Linked DNA regions of Arabidopsis thaliana. The protein of the gene in region 2 interacts with the protein of the main gene of each other region in a pairwise test. Each region holds a gene or a part of one and is shown on either strand. Other genes may lie near its edges.

Region 1 (7,001 bases), on a different chromosome or scaffold from region 2:
GCATTAGTGTTTAGGATGTTGTTGACAATTCAATAAAGCGTATAACTTTAATTTTGATAGGAAAGGTAAGAAATCCAAATGCAGTGCATGAGTATCAAACTTTTTATTTTGTCTCGATAGTGATCTCATATCTTGAGATTGACCCATATTTAGGTAGGTGTGGAACTTTTAAGTTATTGGACTCAAAAGTGATTGTATAATTTTGCAGAAAATAACATGCATGGATCCATTTATAAGTAAATAAATAAAAATCGTCTAAACTCGTAAGTCGTAACATGTGATATCACATGATTTGTATTGACTACGGCAACTTGCTAATTTCAACGACAAATTATTTATACACTATTATAGTTTTTGAGTTTATTAGACCATTATAAAATGTATTCTCGTTATGGGATGTAATCACAAGTATTTTGTGATTTACGGGATATTTCGGAGAAAGGCTTGGCTAAGAAAATGGCAATTGCATTGAAAAAAATCTCAACACTTAAATCTAGCTAGTAAGCAAATTATTTCTTCTCGGATTCTTTTTCTGATTCGTTTAAAACAGTGAGGTGGTTGACAGATAATTTCCTATCTAAATGACCTTCAATTCGCACCGAAATGGTCAAATGGACATATGAAACTCTACTGTACGTTTGACCCAAATTTGTTCTCTCTCTCACACACACGCATAAACATTGTGGCATAGGTTCTATTGACTTATCATTATCAACCAAGTGGTTAGGCAGAGTTGGAGACAAGCGGCAGAAAACAAGGCACCATTTACCAACTCGAAAAGTATAATTAAGATTGCTCACGTTTTGAGTCGTTTAACTTACGATAAAATCATAGTCAGTTATTACATATACATGACGATTTAACAAAACGCACATTTTCTCTAATTATAAATATATAACATCATAGTCATTTTTTATTATTTTTTGTAAATTGTAAACTCATCATAGTCAAATTTAGTTGCAACTTTTTTACCAAAAGTAAAAAAAAAAATTAGTTGCAACTTCGCCCATAAGCACCTTTCATGCAATAAAAGACATGCTGATTTCATTGCAAAAATGAGATTTAGCTAGTTCACTAATGAATTCAAAGTGTTAACAAATATGAGCTATTTAGCCCTTTATAGTTGAAATGTATAATCTTATACTAATTAGATTAAGTTGAGTGTTTTACTCGCAATTGAGCGGGTCTAGAGGCTAGTTTTAATTCTTTAGTGAACACTGATCAATAAGACAAATGGCATGGTCTTACTTTCACCTAAACCAACTAACTTATAATACTTTGTTTAATTAGACCCTTATTTTAAAGTATTAGCTACATTTTTTAAGTTTATTTGGTCGAGTGGACCTTCCAACATCCGTCTCTTAGGATTCTCAATTATTTTGTTTTGTCTCACATTGTGTTACGTGTAAATCTTATGGAAAGAAGCAAAGGAAAATAATAGATTTCATTATTTAATTGATGTAACAAACAATATTACTTCTTCACAAAAAAAAAACAATATTACAGAGTCTATATATTTTGTACAGAAACAAAACAATACAACTATACAAGCAAAAAGTAGCATCCTTTTGTTGTCTTAACGATAATACATATACATCCATGAAGGCAACATTAAGAACTGAGGCAACATACAGAAAGTAAAAACTTCTACTTTTTTTACTTTATATATTGTAGAAACATTAACTATATATGCCTCTTTATTAAAGTATGGATACATAGTAATATTTAAAACACGATCCATGCATGCCTTGACATAATATAAGCAACTAGAGAGTTTATCGATGCCTCAAGCTTTGTACCTTGGTGATATTGTTGTCTACTCAACCTTATGCTTCATTGATCCAACCAAGTTCCATTTTAACTCTTATCATAAAGTTTTTTGGACGTATTTAGCTTTGATTTATTTGTTAATTCATAAGTTTTAACGTTTAAACCATTTCTTTAATTACTTCTACCTCCGAACCAAGTTATTGTTATTCATATCACATTAGAAATTCACTTCTAGTTCTAATACTTTTCTTTTTTTTTGCCAATAGTGATGTTCAACACAAAAACATGTTTTTATGTCTGTTTCACTCAATCATGGAGTGGACCAGTTTTGATATCCCGGTTTGCTATATTGTGCGGTTTATATTAACGAATTTTGTTTTTTAAAACTATAAACCATTTAAAAGAAGTTCTTTTCGTCAATAAAATATCTAACTTTATATTATCCAACCAAATATATGAATTATCTCAAAATTCTTCTATCCTTTGCATCATTCAATTATTTTAATAAAACATACAAAATATGAAATTGTCAGTAATAATTTTTTCTGGTTTGCTTAGTTACTCTTCCATGAAGACGTACATTGGAAAAAAGAAAGTTAGGTTCACTGAACTAATAGTCACGTGTTGCATTCATTGCACGGGAGTTTTTTTTTTATCCCGGCGGCCATCACCACGTCAGCATATCCGGCGTTCTTCCGACAAGAGTGAGACCAATATGTCGGAGAAAGCCCTGATGACGAACTTGTGTGTGTCGGCTGGATTTAAAGAGAGATAAGTGAGTAGCAGTTCATCCAAGAAATCGTAACCGTCGTTCGGATCACGACTAAGTTCTCCGGCGTCGATGGCGGCGTCAATCATCTCTTGCATGGATCGCCGGAAGTCAGTTAACGGATCCGGTGAGTCCACGTGTTGAGTTACGGCGGTTCCTCCGCTTATAAGCCTCGTAGTAGTAGTAGTCACGGAATTATCATAAACCTTCTTTTTCTTCTTCTTTGTCGACGTGATAGTGGCATCATCGTAATTATCAGAGAATTCTCTTGACCGGGGTTCTGGTGAGTCGGTGATTGCATTGGACCGACCAGGGGAAGAGAAGAAGAAGCGACGGGAAGCAAAAGCGGCGGATACATCAGGAGAGATATCAGATTCATATGATGACGTGGATGAGGAGGAGGTGGCGGCCGGAGTGGTTGTGGTGGAGGAAGAAGGTAAGTCAATGACACGATGGGGGTGGTGGTGGTTGTCATTGTGGTAAAGGAGGTTGAAGTTATTGAGAAGAACGATGGAGGGACGGTTAGGTTGGATGATACCGTCGGGATCGGCGGAGGACGGAGGAATACACGGCGAAGAATAGCATTTGGTGAGATTTGACGGGAAGCAAAGATGGAGGCTTTTCCACAAGATTTTTGGCATTTTTAAGAGAGAGAGAGAGAGAAGAATTAAGAGAATAAATGTCTCGAGCAAATGGATATGTTGGCTTATTTTGTAACATATATATACACAAATGTCTCATTACGTTTATAAAAGGGTACTTATGTAATTTACAAATTTCTATATACTAATGTTGCCAAAAATTTTTTTTTTATAAATGAATAAGTGAATTACTATCAATTTTCTGATTTATCTCATTTTCAAGAATCGTTATGTAGCTACCGAGAGTCTCAATGTTGACTATGTGTTCACCAATCACCACATGCACTTGTGTTGCGACTTGCAAAACAAAGTAATGGTACTTGTTACTATTGACTAAATGCAGTTATTAGGATCCTTAATTTTCATCTATATTGATGAAACGTTTACAAAACATATATTCCCTAAAGGGTATTGTACTTTCGAGTGAATCTGAATATCAGATATTTACTTTTTTAGCGTTTTTCTTTCTTTTGGTTTGATACTTTCTAATTTTGTAATTATTCACTTTCTTTCTGAAACACTGACGTACAAAGCTGAATTCAACATGGGGAGGTCTTTCTTTATACGTGAATGATAGTATTTATAAATTTTGGTTTATTCATATAACCTTATAGTTTGTCAGAGTTACAAAAACTGCAAAACATGAAGAATGAGTGTCCTTGCAATTACAGAATAGAGAGAGCTCACGAGGAGGTAAATTCATCCACCACCTAGATTGGTCCACTCATCATGACGTAAAGCCAAAAGACGTTAGTTCAAGTACGAATACTTCCCTAGTGTGGTCCTGGTTTTTGGTCCACCGGTCCGATTCACAAGGTCAGGTCGAGTTTTCACTGGTCCGACCAAGCAGGTCATTCGGTCAATATTTGTTTTGTTAATCAAGTCCTAAAGATATTTTAGCCACCAGTGACTATAACTAAGTCTGGCTATTTTTGTACATGTAGAATCAAGTAATAACTAATAAGGAGTTAAGGACTAACGATCAGTTATGACTTGCTGTTGCTGGTAATTTGGCGGGTGAGAATAGACAATGGATAGAAGCAAGTTAAAAATGGAAATGAAGCATCCAATATAATAAGTATTTTGGAAGCATGTTTTTGTGAATTATCTCATTATGATTTGGTTATAGAGACTAATGTGAAGTCGTGTTGGTGAAAGGTTTGAAACTTGTTGTGTTTCATATATTCAATAGTTTAGCGACTATTTTTGCTTGTAGCCTATATATTTTCAGGGTTATCCCTCGTTACTGGTAAAGATCGTATCGGATAACACTCGAAATGCACAGCTGAGCTATCATCGTGCCAAGGCTAGGGTGGACCGGTGGTACCACTTCGCGTAGTTATCCGGCACCAGAAAAAAAAAAAAAGATTCGAACTCATCTTTCATATGGATAAATTTATGTGGGCCACAACAGAAAATATAGCTATCATCATACTTTGTTGTTACATAAGCTACTCATGATTCGTCCGCCAATATTCCATCACCAAATAAGAACCACAAAAGCGGCGACTGATGGATCATAAGATTTTAGATTATGGTAAGTTGTAGAATGTTTGTAATGCCTTCACACCATTATGCCTCTTGCCATGTTGGGGGTATGGACAACAACTTAGCCCCACAAATTGATGCCCTATTTTGTTTAGACTGGAATTTTGAAACACATTTTTCTCTATTTTGCTATTTTTGGGGTCATCAGTCTACACATGGATGTTGCAAATGACCACCAATTCGGTTCACTTCAGGTTGGGTTTAATTACGACCCGACTATGATCTAGCCAACCATAATTTAGCCTCGATATCTGAGGTTTAGGTCTGATTCGACCAAGCTTTATAGCAATACAAGTCAACCGGAAGTTAGAAATGATACGTTTGATGAGTTCAATCCGGGTTGAACCGGGTGAGTTTATATGACCAAAACAACTCTTCACAATAAATGAATAAAATATCTCGAGTTGTGAATGTATGGTTGTTCTTAGTTGGGTCTCTATCGTCCTCTCTCTCTATTATAACTATCCCAATCTCTTCGGTGTTGTAATAGAGACATGGGAACTACTAGACAAGGAAAAGCTCATAAATTCGATACATCCAACATTCAAAGCACATGACACGAACTTTGAGGCGTAAGCTGTCACAAGTTAACATCAAACCTAGACATATAGATTTTATTTCAACAAACTGATTATTTATACAATACTTTTATTTCATTCTATAAGTAGTGATACCACATATTTCAGGTTCAAGGCTCATGATCGACTTGCTACCTCTAATCCGTTTCCTGCAAAATTTGACGACAGAATCTGTAAGTTGAAACAGACAGGATCGCTGAAAGATAATCCTAGAACACATGTTCCGGATCGATAGACCAAAGTACTAAAGCATCAATGCATATAAATATATAATACACAAGAACTGTAATTTGCAAATGCTTGTGCTGAATAAGAAAAGTAGACATATATCTGACCAAGTTATAATAGTTATTAAGCCGGCTTAAGAGCAAAACAGAGATTAATTACCATCAGGATCAAAGAAGAAAACTTGCTTGACTTTTCCATCAGGAAGAGACTTCTGAAAAGTTTCTATCCCTTTCTCCTACATCATAACAAGGACGAGAAAGGATCGATTAAATAACTCTGAAAGATACCAATCATATCCATAACTGTACCATCAAAAGCTCATGTAAACAAGCCAAAGAAACAATACCTTGAGAGAATGAAGGAAAGAGTCGAAATTTGGGACAGAGAAACAGATATGATGACCCATTGGGAGATGGCTAGGATCCTTAACCGCTGAGGTAGCACTGTAAGGACCTTCTGGAAGATTTGTTGAAGGGTTTCTCTGGATAATATGCATTGCAAAAGCACCTGGTAAGTTTAGCCACACCACCTGTAGGTCTCCAAAATCAGGACTTTCGATCTCCTCGAACCCAAACACCTGACAATTATACATATATAATCCATTGGTTTCAGAACAAACCACGAAGATGAAGATAACACTAACTTAATCAAAAGGATTAAAGGCATCCAAAAGTGGACACTCTCAATAGAAACTAGAAACGAGATAAGTGACAAGAGAAAGAGACAAAGCCACAATAGCAACACAAATCTCTAAATAAAAAGCCAAATTACAAACCATAGATTCTAATCCAGATGGGTAATCGACTCAGTGCGTTTGTTTTTTTGGGTCGAAATTGGTAGTAACAACACAAACCCAGAACAGAGAATACGAAGAGAGATAAGAAAAAGAAAAGTGTAAGAAATTGAAAACGTCGATTAGGTGTCGTTACCTCTTTGTAAAACTGGGCGAGGCGTGTGATGTCTGATGATTCTCTGGCTATATGGCCAAGACTCGCCATGTTTGGTTCCAAGCGGACAAAGCTAATCAAGAAGAACAACTCAGAAACAAAAATGGTCGACAAAAAAGAGATTAGTAAAAGTACGTGGCATCGGCTCCTTATAACACATCTTTAATCAAACCATAAGGTTGAACCGATCGGTTTGACTATCAGTGAAACTAAAACCAACTTTAAAAAAAAGAATTATTATACGTAATTGCAGTTACTCCAAGAAAAATTAATCTGTTGCTTAATCTGAATATCCGACCAATCAGAAATGTTCGGACCCCGACCAAACAATGTATCCGGTTTAAAACATCCGGTCCGGTATTAAACCCTTATTGCTCCGTAATCTCTCACCTCCACCAATTCCTCATTCTTCCAATCGCACTTCCTTTACCAGATCAGACGTCAATTTCAACTCTTCAGTGAAGAGATTTCTTTCACCGAATTTTCTACTCCGATCGATCAATTGAAGATTGAAATGGAA
Region 2 (18,349 bases):
ATGATTGATTGTATAATTCAAATTTCCATCGCTTAAACAAATTATCAAATTGTATAGTAATGAAAGGCAATGTAAAGAATGGTTGGTAATATATAAACTTCTCTAAAACTCTAAAAAAAGGAACAACAGCCATCTAAAAAAACATTAAAGACAACTATTGATACTTGTGTAACGTTTCGTGCTCAAATATGTGCATATGAAACACTTAATGGATGCTTATAATAAGAAGTAAGACTTTCCGCCGCTGTGGAAAATATAAACCCATAGAATTGGGACTGCTTTTGTAGAATGTGGACCGATCGGACTTTGTCAAATTTCGTTTTAACCGTTGGTCCTCCTTTCGCTTACTCATTTTCCGCACGCCATTAACGATAAAGATTCCCATTATTTTTCGTCGTCAAATTTGTCTAATCTCAACCATATTCTTTCACTAACATCATTTTTTTCTTTCTTACACTTACATCATATTCCCCAATCCAATTGGAAATCAGCACGATGTACTAGTCTAGTATCTTCTAAAAGAAAAGGATTAAATTTGAATTTAATGTGGTGATGTTCTTTCACGCCACGTTTTTGTAAGTTTGCAACACCATTTTGGGGTTTTAACACCTTATCACCTTATGACGACCAAAAAAAAAGTTTTTATATGCTAAACTCAAAACGTTTCAAAAGTCGTTTTTTCTAAAAGTGAAGTACATTTCGTCGGTTAGATGAACCAGATCCACCACCTGCTACGTATATATTTGGCTAGATGTTTCTTTTTCACTTTTATTTTCTAAGGTTTTTGTAACGTACTTCTTACGTTATTACTGAAATAGGATCGAGATTAGGAATAAAAGACTTTGCTACGCATTTATCACTATGTGGAAATTTAATTAGACGGTTATAGGAGAAATCCACTTCTTTCTTCAAACTTGTCGAAACGTATAGTAGCCTACTTGGTTTTCTCACCCATTATCATTTATCAATGATTCATAATAAATTTTTAAATTTAATATACAAAACAAAAATAGCTAGTTGAACAATTTCAATCAATTATATAAATTCTCAACTCATCGACTTGCATCAAATGTTATGACTGGTTTGGTATATGCACGACAGGACAACCGATACAATGACAGTTGGTTCCAAAAAAAAAGTTTAATCCTAAATATATGAATAATCGAATCGATCAATAACACGTTGACAAAAAACGAACAAATAATCACACTGATGAACCACTTTATAATGAACAGAGAATTTTGTAATCTGAAAATTTTGAAAGTCAAGAGGTTAATCAAGTAATTATAGAAAGGTAGTTGTAACGTTGGCTTTTGTGGAACTAATAACTTACGTGTCTTTAAACGGCGGCTACTTTGGAAGGCTACGTTTCTTAATTTGAACCTCATTTTCTCCATTTTCCTTCGTTTATACGATATCTTTTTCAAAAAAGTGACCCAATAACCACACATATAACATATTTAGTATAACTTTGAATATAAACGAATCAATGATATCTGAATTTTATTTTGATTTTGATCTTGATTTTTGTTGTTTTTTGTCGAGGCTATTGCCTTGCCACTTTGGATGAAGGAACCCGGCTAAGGTAAGACCCCCTGCCTAATATTAGCCTCCGGCGAATTTTGCACTCAGAAATTACATTATGTTATAGTTTTGGAATTTTAGTTTAAATTTGTAAAAGTATTAAAACAATTGGTCAACTATTATATTAATTAGCTCAAGAGTGCTTTCAAAAACATATCTTAAATTTAATAAAGAAATATTCCAATATCTTAACCAGTACTAAAAGAGAAGATCAGAAAATTTCTTATAAAACTTTAATCTAATAAAATCATCTACGACTCTACCATTCAATATTTTTTTGTTATTGTTTTATTTACATATTTCTTTTAATATTTACATATCTCTTTTCCTTTTTGCTAAAAAAAAGTTGGCATAAAAATTACTAAATTTTAAGCGTAAAAAAATAAAATTAATTATTGTCTATTGCCATTTTTGGAGGATGGATATGATTTGGAGGAATAGTTAAAGAAAGTGCTAAAATCTCCTTTAGTGAGTCACAACCGTTGACCTTCACCGCAAGGCACAAGAGACCAAGTCTCTAACCCAACACAACACAAAACCCATAAACTGAAAAGACTAACCTACCCTATCTTGCCATATAAATCCCTCTCGAGCAACGCATGTTAAATAAACCTAATTTATACATTCATTCTCAAAGTCAAAAGGAGACAGGGAGAGAGAGAGAGAGAGAGAGAATTCAAAGCGTTTTTTTTTTATAAATTAAAGGCATGAGAGGTTCAAGAACAGGTTCTTCAGACATGAGTGCTTGGTGTTCTGCTGTTGTGTTATTGTCTTTAATACTTTTGTTATCTGTTCGTGAAAACAACGCTTCTAATTCGATTAGAGGTTCTCAATTCTCAACGAAACCTTGTGAGGAGATTTACATCGTCGGAGAAGGAGAGACACTTCACACCATCGGCGATAAATGCGGCGACCCGTTTATCGTGGAGCGAAACCCGCATATCCATGATCCCGATGATGTCTTTCCAGGTCTTGTTCTCAAGATCGCACCTTTTTACTTCAACAGGAAATTGTAAGACATATAACAAATACGTTTCTTTTTTCTTTCTCTTTTCTCTTCTTTTAAAATTTTGTTTGAAGCATACTTTACCTTAAGTATGTATGTATATATTACTAAAGGATTCAAAAATAAATACAGAGATTTGAAAGAAACAGAGCAAAAACAGAGTTGTGTACCGTGAGTTGATTATTCATGTTTTGTGGGTTTACAAGTTCATTTAGATTTAGGTGTATATGGTAATTATCGATGATTTTTGGTCTTTGGGGTGGAAAATTTGATTAAACAAAATTAGTAGCTGATGAATGCAATAACGAAACGCCAAGTTAGAAAAAGGTCAACGACTTTACAGTCTTTACTAGTGGCAAAATATCAATAAAGGAGTTATGTTATTCTACAAATAAAAAGCTTCATCGTTTAATAATTCTTCCACTTATAGAATTCTCGTATCCAAAGAGGACAGATTATTTGATGAATAGGTGTGCTATATTCAATGATGTGTGAATTTATGCTTAGAAACTCGTGGATGAAAATATGAATTTTATTGATATATACGAATTTCAAAGAACAATAGCCGCATGGTTTGTGTCTCTTGCTATAATCCAAATAAGGATTTTGTTTTGGCAAAAACCTTAAGAAATTTTTACAAATACATGGTCAAGTTGCCCATTCCCAATCCATATCAGTTCTTCAACTTTCGAGCCCTAAGCCATCGTTTCATTGACTTGTAATGTGGGTCGGACCTGATTATGTTGGAAACCCAAACTTGAAATTTTTGCAAGTGGGCTTAAAGTTTTGAAGTTTTTTAGCGATATGGGTAAGTAGGGATTTTATGGATCGCATAGTGGATATCTTTAAAGTTAGAATTGGTCGCATGATGCCCAATGAGTGAATTATGTCATTATGTTACCTTGATTTCTCCCTGGTCGAAGAGAACTTATTCGTAGGTTTATCGAATTTGACATAATATCATATGTTCCGAGAATGCTTTAAAACTTCATATTCTGTTGCTTGTTAATGTAATATGATGTATTATTATCACAACAATAAAGTATTATCTGAACGTTGCCTCATTCGTCCCGTTACAAATAATTATGTTTGAAATATATATATGCAAGTCAAAAATATCTCATTCTCAATTAATTACATAACTATTCAAAATTATCACCAACTCTAGTTCTAGACTTCCTTTTTTGTATGCAATATTCCAAAAACTAATAAACTACACACCTAGACTAATTATGTCGTCATCTCCTAACACTATAGCTTCTAATTTCAAAAACAAAATTCCCAAAGTAAAAGTAAAATGAACATTATTACCGTGCATGTCGACATTACTCCCAAAGAATTGCACAAAATCTCCAAAACCTCTGTAAACAAGAATCTCTTATATATAAGAAACGTGAGTTGTTCGCTGTTACAAACCCACAATCAAAGCCACAAAGGAAGAAGAAGAAAAAAAACAAACCCTAACTTTTGTCAAAAGTAAACGATGAGTAGATTCCGTAAAACCCTAGTTTCTGCTTTCGTTCTCTGCTTGGTTATTTTTCCTCTTCTAGTCTCAGCGGCAGAGGAAGAAAACCAATGCGGCGGATCCAAAGGTGGCTCTGCTGCGGAGAAAGCATCGGCTCTTAAATACAAGATCATAGCTTTCTTTTCCATCTTAATCGCCGGAGTATTTGGCGTCTGTTTACCTATTTTTGGCCTCAAGACGGAGAGCAATTTCTTCATGTACGTGAAGGCATTCGCTGCCGGCGTAATTCTAGCCACCGGCTTTGTCCACATTCTTCCCGATGCTACCGAGAGTCTCACGAGTTCGTGCCTTGGAGAAGAACCACCGTGGGGAGATTTTCCGATGACGGGACTCGTTGCCATGGCTGCATCGATCTTGACAATGTTGATTGAATCCTTTGCTTCAGGGTATTTGAACAGATCTCGCTTGGCGAAAGAGGGTAAGACTCTGCCGGTGAGTACAGGCGGAGAGGAGGAACATGCTCACACTGGCTCTGCTCATACTCATGCCTCACAAGGACATTCTCATGGCTCTCTTCTTATTCCCCAAGATGATGATCACATTGATATGAGGAAAAAGATTGTAACTCAGGTACGTTAAAGTTTTTGGAAATTCTTGATTTAGATAAAGACAAACCCGTATTATTAGTCACATGTTGTCTATTTTTCTTATGGTGTTAGATATTGGAATTGGGGATTGTGGTTCATTCAGTGATAATAGGAATATCTCTAGGAGCATCTCCAAGTGTGAGCACAATAAAGCCTCTCATAGCTGCAATTACTTTCCATCAATTGTTTGAAGGTTTTGGCCTTGGTGGTTGCATCTCTGAGGCAAAGTTTAGAGTAAAGAAAATTTGGGTTATGTTGATGTTCTTTGCACTCACGGCACCAATAGGGATAGGAATTGGTATTGGAGTGGCGGAGATTTACAACGAGAATAGCCCAATGGCCCTAAAAGTTTCCGGTTTTCTTAATGCCACGGCCTCTGGAATCTTGATTTACATGGCGCTTGTTGATTTGGTAGCTCCACTTTTTATGAACCAAAAAACTCAGAGTAGTATGAAGATACAAGTAGCTTGTAGTGTATCTCTTGTTGTTGGTGCTGGTTTGATGTCTCTTTTAGCTATTTGGGCTTGAAAGTTTTAGTTATTCTTGCTTGTTTTTTGAGATTTTTTTTAGAACAGTGAAATTACATTTCAATTCGGATTTTGATACTAAGACAAACCAGTCAATTCCATTCATGAATGCTGTTATATGGGAAAGAGAATGTAAATCAGTCTGTAAGTGACACACGTAACTCTCCATGACTCCATCTCTGATGAAGAAATACAAAACCATCTAACTTACCTGCAAATCATTCGAATGCACGCTTTGTATTTACTATGATATTGTATTTGCTTGAACGCTCTTTAATTACCTCTCCTATGATGCATGTATTACCACAGTAGAACCCCTACCAACAAAATAAAAAAGGTAAAATCAGTTACTAAAAAGATTCTACAATAGCTATGAAATTGTAGTATGGAAATCTTGTAAAGCAATTACTATATGAGAAAGAGAATGTAAATAAAAAAACACTAAGCTATGAAGATGTCTATCTCATGACGTAGAACTCAAGGAAGTGAACAAAAACTACTTGGAGGACAGAGTAAATCACTCCACAACCAGCTAAACAGAGTAAGAAATGAGATTTGGCAGCAGTTGAGAATTGGATGATTTTGTAATGAGTCAAATGATGACTTTCAACTTTGGCTCTTCATAAAAGCATAAATCAAGAGAGATCATATTCTTGTCAAAACGATCCGTTTTCAACTTCTGGATATTCATGGAATAACCCCTTCAAATAGGATATGCCAATTTATCAGTTTATATTCCAATTCTTCCACTTCCATAATAACCAGTCTACATTTTAATTATCTTGAAACCAAAAGAAAAAAAGCCAAGATTAATTTCCTTTTTCTTGAAAAAACAAAGCATTCAAGTACTCAGGCGCATATGAAACATATGAAAAGTAAAATGCTTCAATAGTAGAGACAGACATGCCTTGGAACCTTGGTGGGTAAAAAAAACATACTTGAATGGCTTCATAATGAAGCAAAATAATGAGAGAACATGAGAAGCATCATCATCAAAAGCCAACACTTCAAAAAGAAAAAAATGGATATGGATATCCATGGGAATAACCCCATCAAAGCATCTTCTCCTTTTTCTTCAAGCACTCAAATGTCAAAAAGGTCACCACTTTTATTAAAACTCATATATATACACTGAGCCATTAGTCCATGAATAACCAACCAGCCTTCTCTCAAAGCAAACCAAAAAGAAAAACCAACATTGAAAGAGGAAGTTACGATAAGCGGAGCAGTAATAGGGCATCTTTCTATTGGCAGGCGACTTGGCTATTTGTATCTTTTGTGTTCTTGACTATTGGCTATGTCACTTGCCAAAGGAGAGTTGCCCTGTCACTGCTTCCGCTTAAACACAGTCTATAACCGGTTCTGCTAATATCAATCCTTCTTTTGGACATGTCCAAAGCCGAGATTGATTGATAGAGAATTGGTCTCTCTGGCTACAAAACTAGTGCGGTTCTCTCGATTTAAGTTTTAATAGCATTCACTTTGCACATTGCATCTTTCACATCAAATTTCCATTTCATCAACCATCTAAACCTCTTTGTTAGCTTTGATATAAGCAACGATCTAAAGTCTAAAAACCATTAATCCTCTGAAAAAAAAGACAATTTCGATGGTTCTATTATGTTTCTCCAATGCAGAAATTGTATCGTCTGAATTATAGTAGATTTTTTCTAGACTAAAGTGTAAACCAAGACGAATCTGCACTAACAAGACACACCAATAGACTTTACAGAGAAAGGTTACGAGTTTTGAAAATATTAACGGACCATAGTCATCGCGAAGACAGTTGAAACGGCTGAATCTCTCCGATTTGCAGTATTTCGCTTCGGGAGTCAGAAAGCAGAGGTTGAAGGCAAACGCCGCTAACGTAAACCTTCTCTTTCAGGTGGAATCTCTATTAAAAGGCTTTTGGGCCTTATTTATAGTCTTGTATCTCAATAGGCCTTTGGAGTTTGGGCTTAATTATCTAAATCGGCCTTTGGACTTATCCAAAATATTTTATTCAACTGCTTGAACGTCTCCCTTACATATCGACCATTTCATTTTTTAAAAAGATCCAACATTTGGTGAGGAAATCCAAAAATCGAATATCCAATCAGTATTAAACTAAGACTTATTGCCCAAATTGTATACTAATTCAGTTGGAACGGTAATCGAACAAGTGAAACGAATCAGTGCGAGACACGTGACAAAGCACTGACATAGTACGATGATGTCGATGCCAATTTTCAACACTGTTTTCTTTTTGGCGTGGGCCTTTTCGATACTGTTTCATCTCCTCTCGTTTTCTCCTAAGATTAAAAATAATAGAAAGAGGACAATGTATTATTATTCTCTTAACTCATAGACATAATGACACGTAGTAGGTTCTCTAGTTCCTATCTTTTGATTTCTGTTAACGACTATGTTCATTAGGAGCTACTAGTCACAATGCCTTCAATTAATTTTAACAACATATTTTAGCTACGAGCTTGTCGAGAAATCAGTTTGTTAATACTATTAAAAAAATAGTATTCACGAAAATTTTGAAATTCTCTACTAAATTTTTATTAAATCACAAAACTTTTAAAATTGACCCCATTTAAATTGACTCCCACTAATCCTATAATTAAGTGTTATGTTCTCTAGTAATGACGACATCGTTAGAAATTCAAACACTAATAAATGATTTTATTAATATTGCTCAAAGCCTCAAAGTCGTCCATCGATCTTCTCTCCCCCAAAATTTCCTATTTTAGCGGAGACTTTCCAAAATCCCTTGTTCTTTCTTTCCTCGTTAAGTTTGCCAAAATAGGGTAAAGAATATGTTTATCTCGTAGACCAAATGGATCTTCCTAATGCTTAATAGCTTTTTTATATATATATTTTAAGTTATATTTCGTACGGCTATTATTTTAATGCAACATTTGAACCTGCCACGATTGTCTTTTTTCTCAATTATATAAATAAAGGTTGAAATACTATAATTGGTGCACAGCTACAATAATTATGATATTTACTTCCGTAACGTGAAGGAGAAATATCTAATAAATTACATTTTTATATAAAAACTGTACTAACTTACTTAAAATGAGAGTGAAAATACTAAATCGTATGAATATTACAGTAGTATTTAATTACCATTTTATTGAAATTTGATATATATATATATATATATATAACCATATATTGGTATATACACACATTTTTGTTGACAAATAAATCAATTCTTATAACCAAGTTTGGTTGTTTTCCAGATAAATAAAATAAAAACAAGAATTATCCTGTTTCTTGTTTTGGCATCTAATTATCCTTTTGTATGTGGGGAGGAGAAGATATGGACACAAATTTAAAATACTCTATACATAATTTTTATTATTATCAAGAACAGAAATGAAAATAAGAATGGCATCATTTTATTGTGACCCATAAAACAAAAAAGAAAAGTGATAAAACATAAAAAAAAACTTTCTATAAAAAAAAAAAACATTAAGAAACTTGCCCCTTCCTTCTCTCACAGATCATTCTAGGGCTCCTGACAGAAAAACCAAATACCTTTTCCTCTTTCCATTTTTGTAGAATTTCAAATCTTTCTTTCCTCAATCTTTCACAATGATCTTTTCCTGTGAAGTTCTTGATTTTAAATCACCCTTTCTTCACTACTAGCTTATCTCTTCTTCAATTTTCTCTACCGACATTCAATTACTCTCCCTATTCGGTGAGATCTCTCTCTCTCTTTTATGACTTTGGTTATGATGACTGGTCACTGGCTTGTTTAGGGTTTCAATCTTTACAGATCTTGTGGCAGAAAAAATCAAGTCAAAGCAAGAAAAATGGTTAGAGGAAAGATAGAGATGAAGAAAATAGAAAACGCAACGAGTAGACAAGTGACTTTCTCAAAAAGAAGAAATGGTTTGTTGAAGAAAGCTTATGAGCTCTCAGTACTCTGCGATGCTCAACTCTCTCTCATCATCTTCTCCCAGAGAGGAAGGCTTTATGAATTCTCTAGCTCTGAGTATGTTTTCTTCAATTTCTTCTTGATTCTTTTAATTCATCTTCTTTTACTTTTCCGATCGTACTTTTTTTGGGGGGTTAATTAGGCTTTTAGGTCATGTGTTTGTGTCTGTTCTGATTTATTTTCTGAATCGTTATTGACTAAAGCAACCTTCTCAGATTTTGGTACTTGAGAGATTCGATCCTTGTCTGAATCCTAAAGATTTCTTTCTTCTCTTCCCCTATCAGTCTAATTTCATTTTTCTATTTTTATAATAGTCATTTGGTTAGAAATCTAGACAAACTCCTTTTTTCTGATCTACCAAAACTTTACATCCAAACTAAATTGTGTGCGTATATATTGATATATGTGTGTGTATGTTTCTAGGGTTTCCAAATTCTTGAAAGTATATATGAACAGAAAACAACATCGGAAGTAGATCTAAATGGGATTTATTCTATAATTTGATGATTATTTATTGTGATCCGTACCAAGTTGCACATATTTTTACCCATTTCTTTGGTGATAATATAAAATAAGTTTACTTTTTCTTGCCCCTAGTTAATTAGGTTGTGTACTATCGTTTTTGGTTTTCGTTATGTCTTTATTTGGGCTCTACTTTTGCAGCCATGTAGTAATAATGCTTGCTCTTCCTCGTTTGATTCAGGTGTCCAGTGCATACATAGTTCCCTATATATATATATGTTTAACACATTCACATCCTTAAGTTTTTGCTATAATCAATGTTAGAACCAAGTAGCTAAAGTTGTGATTTGTTATTCTCTATAGTAATATATATTGTTGATTAGAGGTTTCCTAATGGGTTAATGGATCTAGATTCAATTATTTGATGTGAGAAAAAAAAGAGTTCAATAAATGGACAAAAAAGGGCCCGGTGAATCATAGGGCATGGATTTGAATAGTTACCTAGCTATAGAGATATTAACCAACAGCAAAGAAGATATTGTAGTACAATCTAAGAATCATACTACAGTCAAACAAAATTTTCATATCTCGTTGCGATAAGATGTTATTTCAAATATAGTAGAGCTATAGATAAAACAAATACGAAGATAAGTACGTTAGTTCATATTTCTGAAAATATATGTCTATTTTTGATCATCAGTATGCAGAAGACGATCGAACGCTACCGCAAGTACACAAAAGATCATGAAACCAGCAATCACGACTCACAAATTCACTTGCAGGTTTGTTAGCAAACTCTTTTTTTTTCACTTGATGACTTTCACGGTTTTATCCTTGGTAAAAATAATCAAACTTAAACTTTACATGATTTCCATGCTATTGATATTAGACTGTGGGCTTCCAACTTAAAACCAATTGGCAATAGGTGGAGAGACCCATATCTTATATATACCACTTAAGATCCTACTCAACTTCCGATGTGGGACATTGTCCCTAATAATTGATTCTTTGACTTTCAATGGCCAACAAAACCAAATCTTATGAGATCAATTACTACATCACAAAACAACTGATGGATCGATGGTCACAAAGATTACATACTGATCTGTTTTACTTCTTTTGCATCCTATGATTTTATTTTGTGGGCGTATTGTAGCAATTGAAACAAGAAGCAAGCCACATGATAACAAAGATTGAACTCCTTGAGTTTCACAAGCGGTATAATGTCTTAGACTTTTTGTTTCTTTTTCTTTTCGTTGCTACTTCTCTTAGATCACAATCTTGATTATTATTCCTTTAATTTCATTTACGGTATTTTGTTTCGTTTTATATATAAAACCATATAAGCTTAGACTTTTTAACCAAACTTTCTTTATTAATTGTAGATCCATATCCTTAAGACTTCATTAACCATTTTTTATTTATTTCAATACTATAATTTTTAACCTTTTTGTTAGTATTTCAAGAATTTTTTTTATAAAATTTGAAACCTTTAGTCGTTTAGATTTAAAAGTCCTTTTAGTTGTTTCCGTATGTAAAGGTACGCATGTAATCAAAGACCATACTATAGTAATATCATTAATGTATTTGTTAGTGATCTCAAATAGGAGAACTACTTTGGAGATTTACAAAATTTGTTCATGAACCCTCCTCTGCGTGTGTATAGGAAGCTATTGGGACAAGGAATTGCTTCTTGTTCTCTAGAAGAGCTTCAAGAAATCGATAGTCAACTCCAAAGAAGTCTGGGAAAGGTCCGAGAAAGAAAGGTACATATACTTCATCACTATCTAATTGGTATATGATGATGATCTAATGTAACTATACAACACATATTGACTTGAATAATCTCCATCTCAGTCATCAAGTTATAGTCCTCATTTAGATATGAACTTGAACACAGATCTTTGCAACCATTTAGCGTCATATCTCAACCAATATACTAACATTGATCAAGAGTCAAGTCACATGTGTGTTTGTATATTAGTGTTGTTATCATGGAAATGAAAAAAAAAGTTGGACAAAATGTTTTATAGGCTCAATTGTTCAAGGAGCAGTTGGAGAAACTAAAAGCAAAGGTTTGATACATTATGTTATAATATAAGATATGTATATCATACATGCAATTTTTTAACTAGCTTTTTTATATGAAATTGGTGAAAGAGTGTCGGTTGTGTTTCAGGAGAAACAATTGTTAGAAGAGAACGTCAAGTTACATCAAAAGGTGACCCATCTCTCTTTACAATTCACATATTTAGAATTGTATATACCAATACTAATTCAACTGAAATTTACATATATATCATATATGTTATGAATTGCTAATGCTTTAGTATGCTGAAAATATTACCCAAAGAACTCTGATTGTTTTTCGTCGGTTGATTTTTTACATTTTTAGATTTTTTTTCTCCGGCAAAATCATTGTTAGAGATTATACGGTGCTATTCGGTAAAATTTGGTTCTCGTTCCAAGTTTTTTTTTTTTGATAAAGTATTTGATTAGTTTTAAGGATTTCAAAATTTAAGTTTGAGTTTGACTTTTTCAGTTGGTTTTGTTTACAACTTTTGGATATCATTTTTAACATTTTCTCCTAGAGATAAAATTATAAAATGATATGTTTTATGGTTGATGAAATTGCAATCTATGTCATGGACAGAATGTTATTAATCCATGGAGAGGATCATCGACTGATCAGCAGCAAGAGAAATACAAAGTTATAGATTTGAATTTGGAAGTTGAAACTGACTTATTCATCGGTTTGCCAAATAGAAACTGCTAGTAACATTATATAATATGTTTATTTATTTATCATGAAATATTCAAAATCATTCAATAAATTGTGAGGTAATGATTTGGGATAGTATTTTCTGAGTTGTTATAATTCTAGTCCTTATACAATTAAAGAGATATATATATACAGTATATTCAAAATCCTTCAACTAATTGTGGGGTATGATGTTCTTACACTATTCACACTGTATTTGGAAGCTCATGTTAAGAAACATTCTTGGGTTCATACTTGGAATGTCCAGTCATCATCCAAAATCTAAAACAAATCTTCGGCCTAAGTTATGGGCTCCAATCGGCCCAATAAGGATCCAATGGATTATATTAATATACAGCCAACTACCCACCCATGGCCCACCAGTCTTTGTTGCAGTTTACTCGTTTGCAAGTACTGTATATTATAATCAGATACACAGAAGTTAGATACTACTAATTACTTGATAGGATAATATTAATACTCTAGTGTATAGGAGATAAATGCATCAGCTCACGGTTAGCTGCTTAATTCTGCTGTATTTGAATTTTGAAATTCACTAACCTCGACCGTTGCTTTTGTAATAATAATCTATTCATTAGATAATTGTAATAATTGAGTATGGAGAACATATACATTATCAACATGTAACCAGGAGTTTTAGAGAAAATAATCTTTTTTTTCTTCTCAGTAGCGGTAAATTTACCTTCAAGACAAAATATTTATCGATTGTAAAATTATATATTAATCAACTCATCAAGTTATACTTCCAGTTGATGAAATTACTTGTATATTATATATCGAAATATTCAATACATTTACATTCTCGTACACGTACATAGATTAGAGGAGCCATGCATATGGCTGATTCGTTTTATAGTCTTTCTAAGACTTTACATAGTATGCTTTTTAACTTTTACACTTTTTCCTGATTTTCTGTAAGTCCCTTTTGGCTTTCTATTGTAACCCAACATATAATAAGAAAGAAAAAAAAAAAGAAGAAGAGTAAATTAGAAGTGGAACCAAAGATAAATTATTCTCTTTTCTTAAAAGGGTCGCCTAACTGCATTTCCCTTGCATTTAACTTATTGTAAATTCATCTAAAATCTTTTCCATAAACTTATTGTAATTTTACAACTAGAATTAGAATATTGCTAGTTTGTTACGGGCCATGATTTCAGTTTTAGCCAATTTATGGTTGAGCATTCCTTCGATTAAAGGAAGAATGTCTTTATTTGCTAGCTATACGCACAGTGTACTTAAACATTCTCATGTTGAAATATGTGTAGTATCGAAACTAATTAGCTTTAAAAATCTCAATGTCTAAATCTTCAACTTCATATATTATGTATAAAATATACTCCTTAGGGAAAATATTTCTTCACGTTTTCTTGATTTCGTTTTTCATTTAACTGTATCCGATCCAAGGTTACCGTACGCTCAAAGAGTACTCTCGGACACTTAGAATTTACACTATACATTTTAGAAAATAATATGCATACTCCCAAAAGTGGACTGTACATGTTTTCAGTTACTTATTTAATATAACTCGACTATATATATGTTCATAGATTTGCCAACAAAACATTTAATTCCAACAAACTGGGTAGTCAATTAATATTTGCTAGAAAAGATGCAAAGAGATTAGTTTATAAGAACATCATTTAATAGATTTTGGTCAACCTTTATCAACATCTTGATATCATATAGTAACGATTAGTAAAAGAAAATGAAATTATTAAAAAAACATAAACGCCCATGTGACTTCGCTTAGTTTTTTTTTTTTTTTTTTTTTGCTGCTTATTTTGAATTTCCCGCTCAACGGTCGACAGATTAGTTGGACACCTAGACGACGACAAATATAATACATCTATACACTCGCTTACAACAACAACAAATACATATATCGAAAGGCAGTTTTGTCAATTATATATAGACATTTTATTTGACCAAAAAAGAAATAGACACTTAAATGTGGAAATCTGATGATACTCCAGTTGAGTATTATTTTTTTCTCTTATACAAGATAGATGTAAAATTTTGGATATTCCAGCATGTTATAATTAGCTAGAGTCATCCATGTTGATCTTGTTTGCTGTACAAAAATATATTTTATTAAATAATTAGATATATCGGTTGTGAATTAGATTTTATTTCCAAAACAAATATATTAAGAATTTCATTAATAAAGTTATAAACGGCAAAAAAAAAAAAGTTATAAACGGTTAAAGTGTTTGAATTGTATGCTTTTATCTATCGCTCTAATTATTTTTTAGCTAGATAATGAGATTTCAATGCTTAAATTTATCTTGATAGTGCAAGTTTAATTGTAACTGTTTCAGGACTTCTGTAATGATAAGGTTTGTATGTGCAAGTGCAATGAAAGTAGAGTTACAATCTCGGCCACCGTAAGTCTGTGAACAAACACAAAACAAAGCAATTTCTTTGTCATGCAATACATATTTAACAAACTATATAATTAGCGTGTTCTTTTAATGAACGCAGCGTCAGCGACAACAAAGAAGAAAAACAGATCTGCGGCGAGAAAAAATACAGTGATTAGAGAATAACTGCCGCAGAAGATGTACGATGATGAAGATTGACGTGACGCTGCTTAATTTCAGCGATTCATTTGATGCAGTTGCAATTCATCGGCTATCATCGGCGACTCATCCAAAATTATTATTTTCAAGCTTTAATGTCGTTTTACTTACCTACTACTTCTCATGACACGTCGTTTCAGTCCGCTATTGCCGCTGTCGCAGCGTCAAATAAAAGAACACGCTAAATGTATATGCATTCTAAATTGCATGAATGGTGTCTTCATTACGACAGATGTAGCTTTAAACTTCACGTAAATGTCTCGGGTCCATGCAAAATCTATCTTTCGTCTTGTCTTTTTACTACTTTACAAGGTTCTCTTCACCTTTTTACTTTTCTCTTTTCTTTTTTTTTTCCTTAAAATATTTCTTTATATCTATCAGAAATATTCTTCTCTTACATTGCTTTGCTGTAATTATTTGGACAATCGTCAGAATTATTTAAGCTCTCTGAGATGCACAAACTCTCATGACATGATAATAAGAACAAAGATACATAACAAGATTCCTCTCGAAATTTACGTACGTTTTTTTGTACCCATCGTCAACGTCATAATCGTCAAAGGTTTTTGAAAACTTGTTGCTTCATGGATGTATGCTAATTTTTTATTTTACCATATTTTCAATACGTTTAACACATTCAAACTCATTAGGTCGAGAAAAAGTTGACATAGTCCATAAATATAACAAACAATCAAACAGATATGAATAATCTATATAATAGGAATATGATCATGTATAATAGGAATATGAATATAACAAACAATCAACCAAAAAAAAAATGATCTATATAATAGGAAAGTAGTTACTGTAATAGCTCATCAGTCATCACTAAACACATTAAAATGTAATCAATCAATTGTTCAAAATGGTTTATATATTTATCTAAAAACAAATTGAGATCATTTTGTCACATCACCATAACTATAATGTCATATTTCTTTTGGAGTGAATAATTCTTTCTGCAAAAGTGTGATGTGTGTCACATCTTCAGAACTTTGAAACCTTTAACTGTTGTTTGTGTCAAATTAAGTGGGACTAAAGGGTAGATTCCAATTACCGGTAATTCTATATTTCTGAATATTTTTAATATGTTAGGCTTGCCTATTTCATTTATATATTTTGTGAATTCAAAGCGAATGATTTTATTGGATAATTTTTTCAAAATAACTTGGATGATTTTGTAAATTTCCTTTGTTTGTTTGTAATTGGTCGGATGACATATTACAAATAATGAATCTAATTACATGCAATACACAAAGCATACGAGACCATAACACTCATCACATTCTTCATAGGACACCTTTACGTATAAAGTACATCAACAAAGACTCTGCACTACACCGACACTTTTGATAAACTTGCATTCACAATTCAGAAACTAAAATATGTTATCTGCAAATCAAATCATTATGGTCTCTAAACACTAAATATTTGAAGATATAATTCAAACTCATGTAAAAAAAGTAAGTTCAAATTTTCAGACAAAGACATGGCTAATATGGCAAAAAACAAACAAAATGTTTTGGGCCCAAAGTTATTTTCTTCTCCTAAAACCACTAAAATAGTAAATAGTAAATGCTTCTCTAGTTTTCGTGTATAGTATTCAAAACTAGACGACTATTTCCGAATCTAGCTACGATATGATTTCAAATATTTCCAATAGACCCCATAATTCATCTTGACTAAGGATTCAATGTCATCAAATGCGTGAAAGAAACGTCTCTTGACACATCTTTTTTCCCCCTTATTGACACATCTTTATCGTCAAGATTTCATTACAAAAAGAATAGCCAACAACATAAAATCAAAATATTCAAAACTCATGAATACTATTCTTTAGTCTACATAGCATATGCAAAACCCATGGGATGTTGGAATACGCGGGGGACAAAAACATCTGAAATTGACAGATCTTTCTATCTTCTAACAAAAGAGCTCCACTTCGGTCCACACTCTACAATTTCAAAATTTTATTTTATTTATTTATAACGGCTACAAAAGTATTTGAAAATTAATATAAATAATCTATATATTAAAAAAAGATATCTCTATACAAAGAAGAACCAGTAAATGTCTGCCATGTGGAATTCTTTTATCCACGTGGAAGCCTTAATCTCAATGAGGACGAGTCGTGGTGGGACCCCACATTTGTAGAGTATCTCGTCACGTGAACACCCCACGTGCCACTGACATCATCGTTACGTTTCAGCGGCGCCGTTTTGACCATCCACGTGGCTAAATAATCCGTCGTCGTTTCAGTCACGAGTGTTTCAAAGATTCCTCTCTCGATCTCCGTGACGATTCCTTCGCCGTCTTCTTCAAACGCCGATTCAATCTCCGGGAAGTCCCCGGCGACGAGAGCGTCGATATCTTCTAGAACCAAACACTTTGCTAACGGAAACCGCTCGATTCTCCGAGATAACTCGTCGATTAGCTCCGATCCCTTTAGATTCCTCTGAGACCGAATCGGGTAATGGCAAACCCAAGGTTTCAAATTTATGTGTGGCTTTAAGATATCGGCGAGGATTTCGTCTACTAAGTGGAAGAGTAGCTTTCTATTGCATCGAAGAGAGAGATTTTCCGGTGAATTTCTAGGTCTGGTTGATGTAACAGCGAAATGTTCGAGGAAGTAGAAGATTGATGGATCAAGTGGGTGTGAAGGAGAGAACCATTTAGCGTATGAGATTGGTGTGTCTCTGTCGATTCCTGTTCTTCTTAGGGTTCTTGTTATGTACTCTAATTCGCCGCCGGCGATTGGTGCAATGTGGTGTTGTGATTGGCTCGGAAAACTAGGGAGCTCTGATGATGATGCTCTGTTTCTTGGTGTTTGTGTTTCTCTGAGCTTTAAGTTTGACTGCAAAAACATGAATGAAACATTTAAATATTTAAACTTTGGATAAGGGAGGTAAAGAGAGTAAGTAGGTGTTTTGTACCGATTTGTGATGAGGTTGTGAATCTTTCTTCTTGATGGTGGGAACACTGGTGAAGTTGATGAGATGATTAATGGATAAAGGAGTTTTCTTGCTGGAAGATTTGTCTCCTTGGATAAGAAGTAGATGACCATTGTTGTTGTTGTTGCTGTTGTTTATTGCTGGTGATCGAACAAACGGCTCTTCCTGCATTGATTGTGGCGGCTTCACTAATCTCGACTTGAAATTCTCTGGTTTCTTGCATTTCTTTGTAGATTTCCTCTGTTTTTCTTTCTCTGTTCCTTGTGGCTCTTCATGCACTGTTGGTAACCTGGTCTTGTCTTGAACCTTCATTGCTGTTGTTTCCAGAATCTTGGAAGCGACATTATTTGTCTGAAGTGAGGTTGGTTTTGTTTTGGGGACTTCCGTTAATCCCAATCTCGGGGATGAT

What was found.
Region 1: the proteins of AGL42 (region 2) and OFP16 interact in a two-hybrid assay, tested with the Arabidopsis thaliana proteins (one large-scale study listed by BioGRID).

The regions. Positions count from the first base shown.
Region 1 is NC_003071.7:13,644,031-13,651,031, reverse strand, and holds OFP16 (ovate family protein 16), read right to left. Parts: upstream 3,334-7,001; 5' UTR 3,181-3,333; coding exon 2,446-3,180; 3' UTR 2,030-2,445; downstream 1-2,029. Other genes in the region: AT2G32090 (Lactoylglutathione lyase / glyoxalase I family protein), read right to left, coding at 5,424-5,455, 5,694-5,769, 5,881-6,111, 6,464-6,532; PUR ALPHA-1 (purin-rich alpha 1), read left to right, coding at 6,996-7,001.
Region 2 is NC_003076.8:24,956,034-24,974,382, forward strand, and holds AGL42 (AGAMOUS-like 42), read left to right. Parts: upstream 1-8,612; 5' UTR 8,613-8,926; exon of another isoform or gene 8,927-9,016; 5' UTR 9,017-9,041; coding exon 9,042-9,223; intron 9,224-10,328; coding exon 10,329-10,410; intron 10,411-10,784; coding exon 10,785-10,846; intron 10,847-11,294; coding exon 11,295-11,394; coding exon of another isoform or gene 11,395-11,430; exon of another isoform or gene 11,431-11,661; coding exon 11,662-11,703; coding exon of another isoform or gene 11,704-11,709; exon of another isoform or gene 11,710-11,807; coding exon 11,808-11,849; intron 11,850-12,281; coding exon 12,282-12,404; 3' UTR 12,405-12,574; downstream 12,575-18,349. Other genes in the region: AT5G62150 (peptidoglycan-binding LysM domain-containing protein), read left to right, coding at 2,292-2,600; ZIP12 (zinc transporter 12 precursor), read left to right, coding at 4,074-4,685, 4,775-5,230; TRM25 (LOW protein: M-phase inducer phosphatase-like protein), read right to left, coding at 17,082-17,843, 17,923-18,349. UniProt on the Arabidopsis thaliana protein: MADS-box transcription factor that acts with AGL71 and AGL72 in the control of flowering time. Promotes flowering at the shoot apical and axillary meristems. Seems to act through a gibberellin-dependent pathway.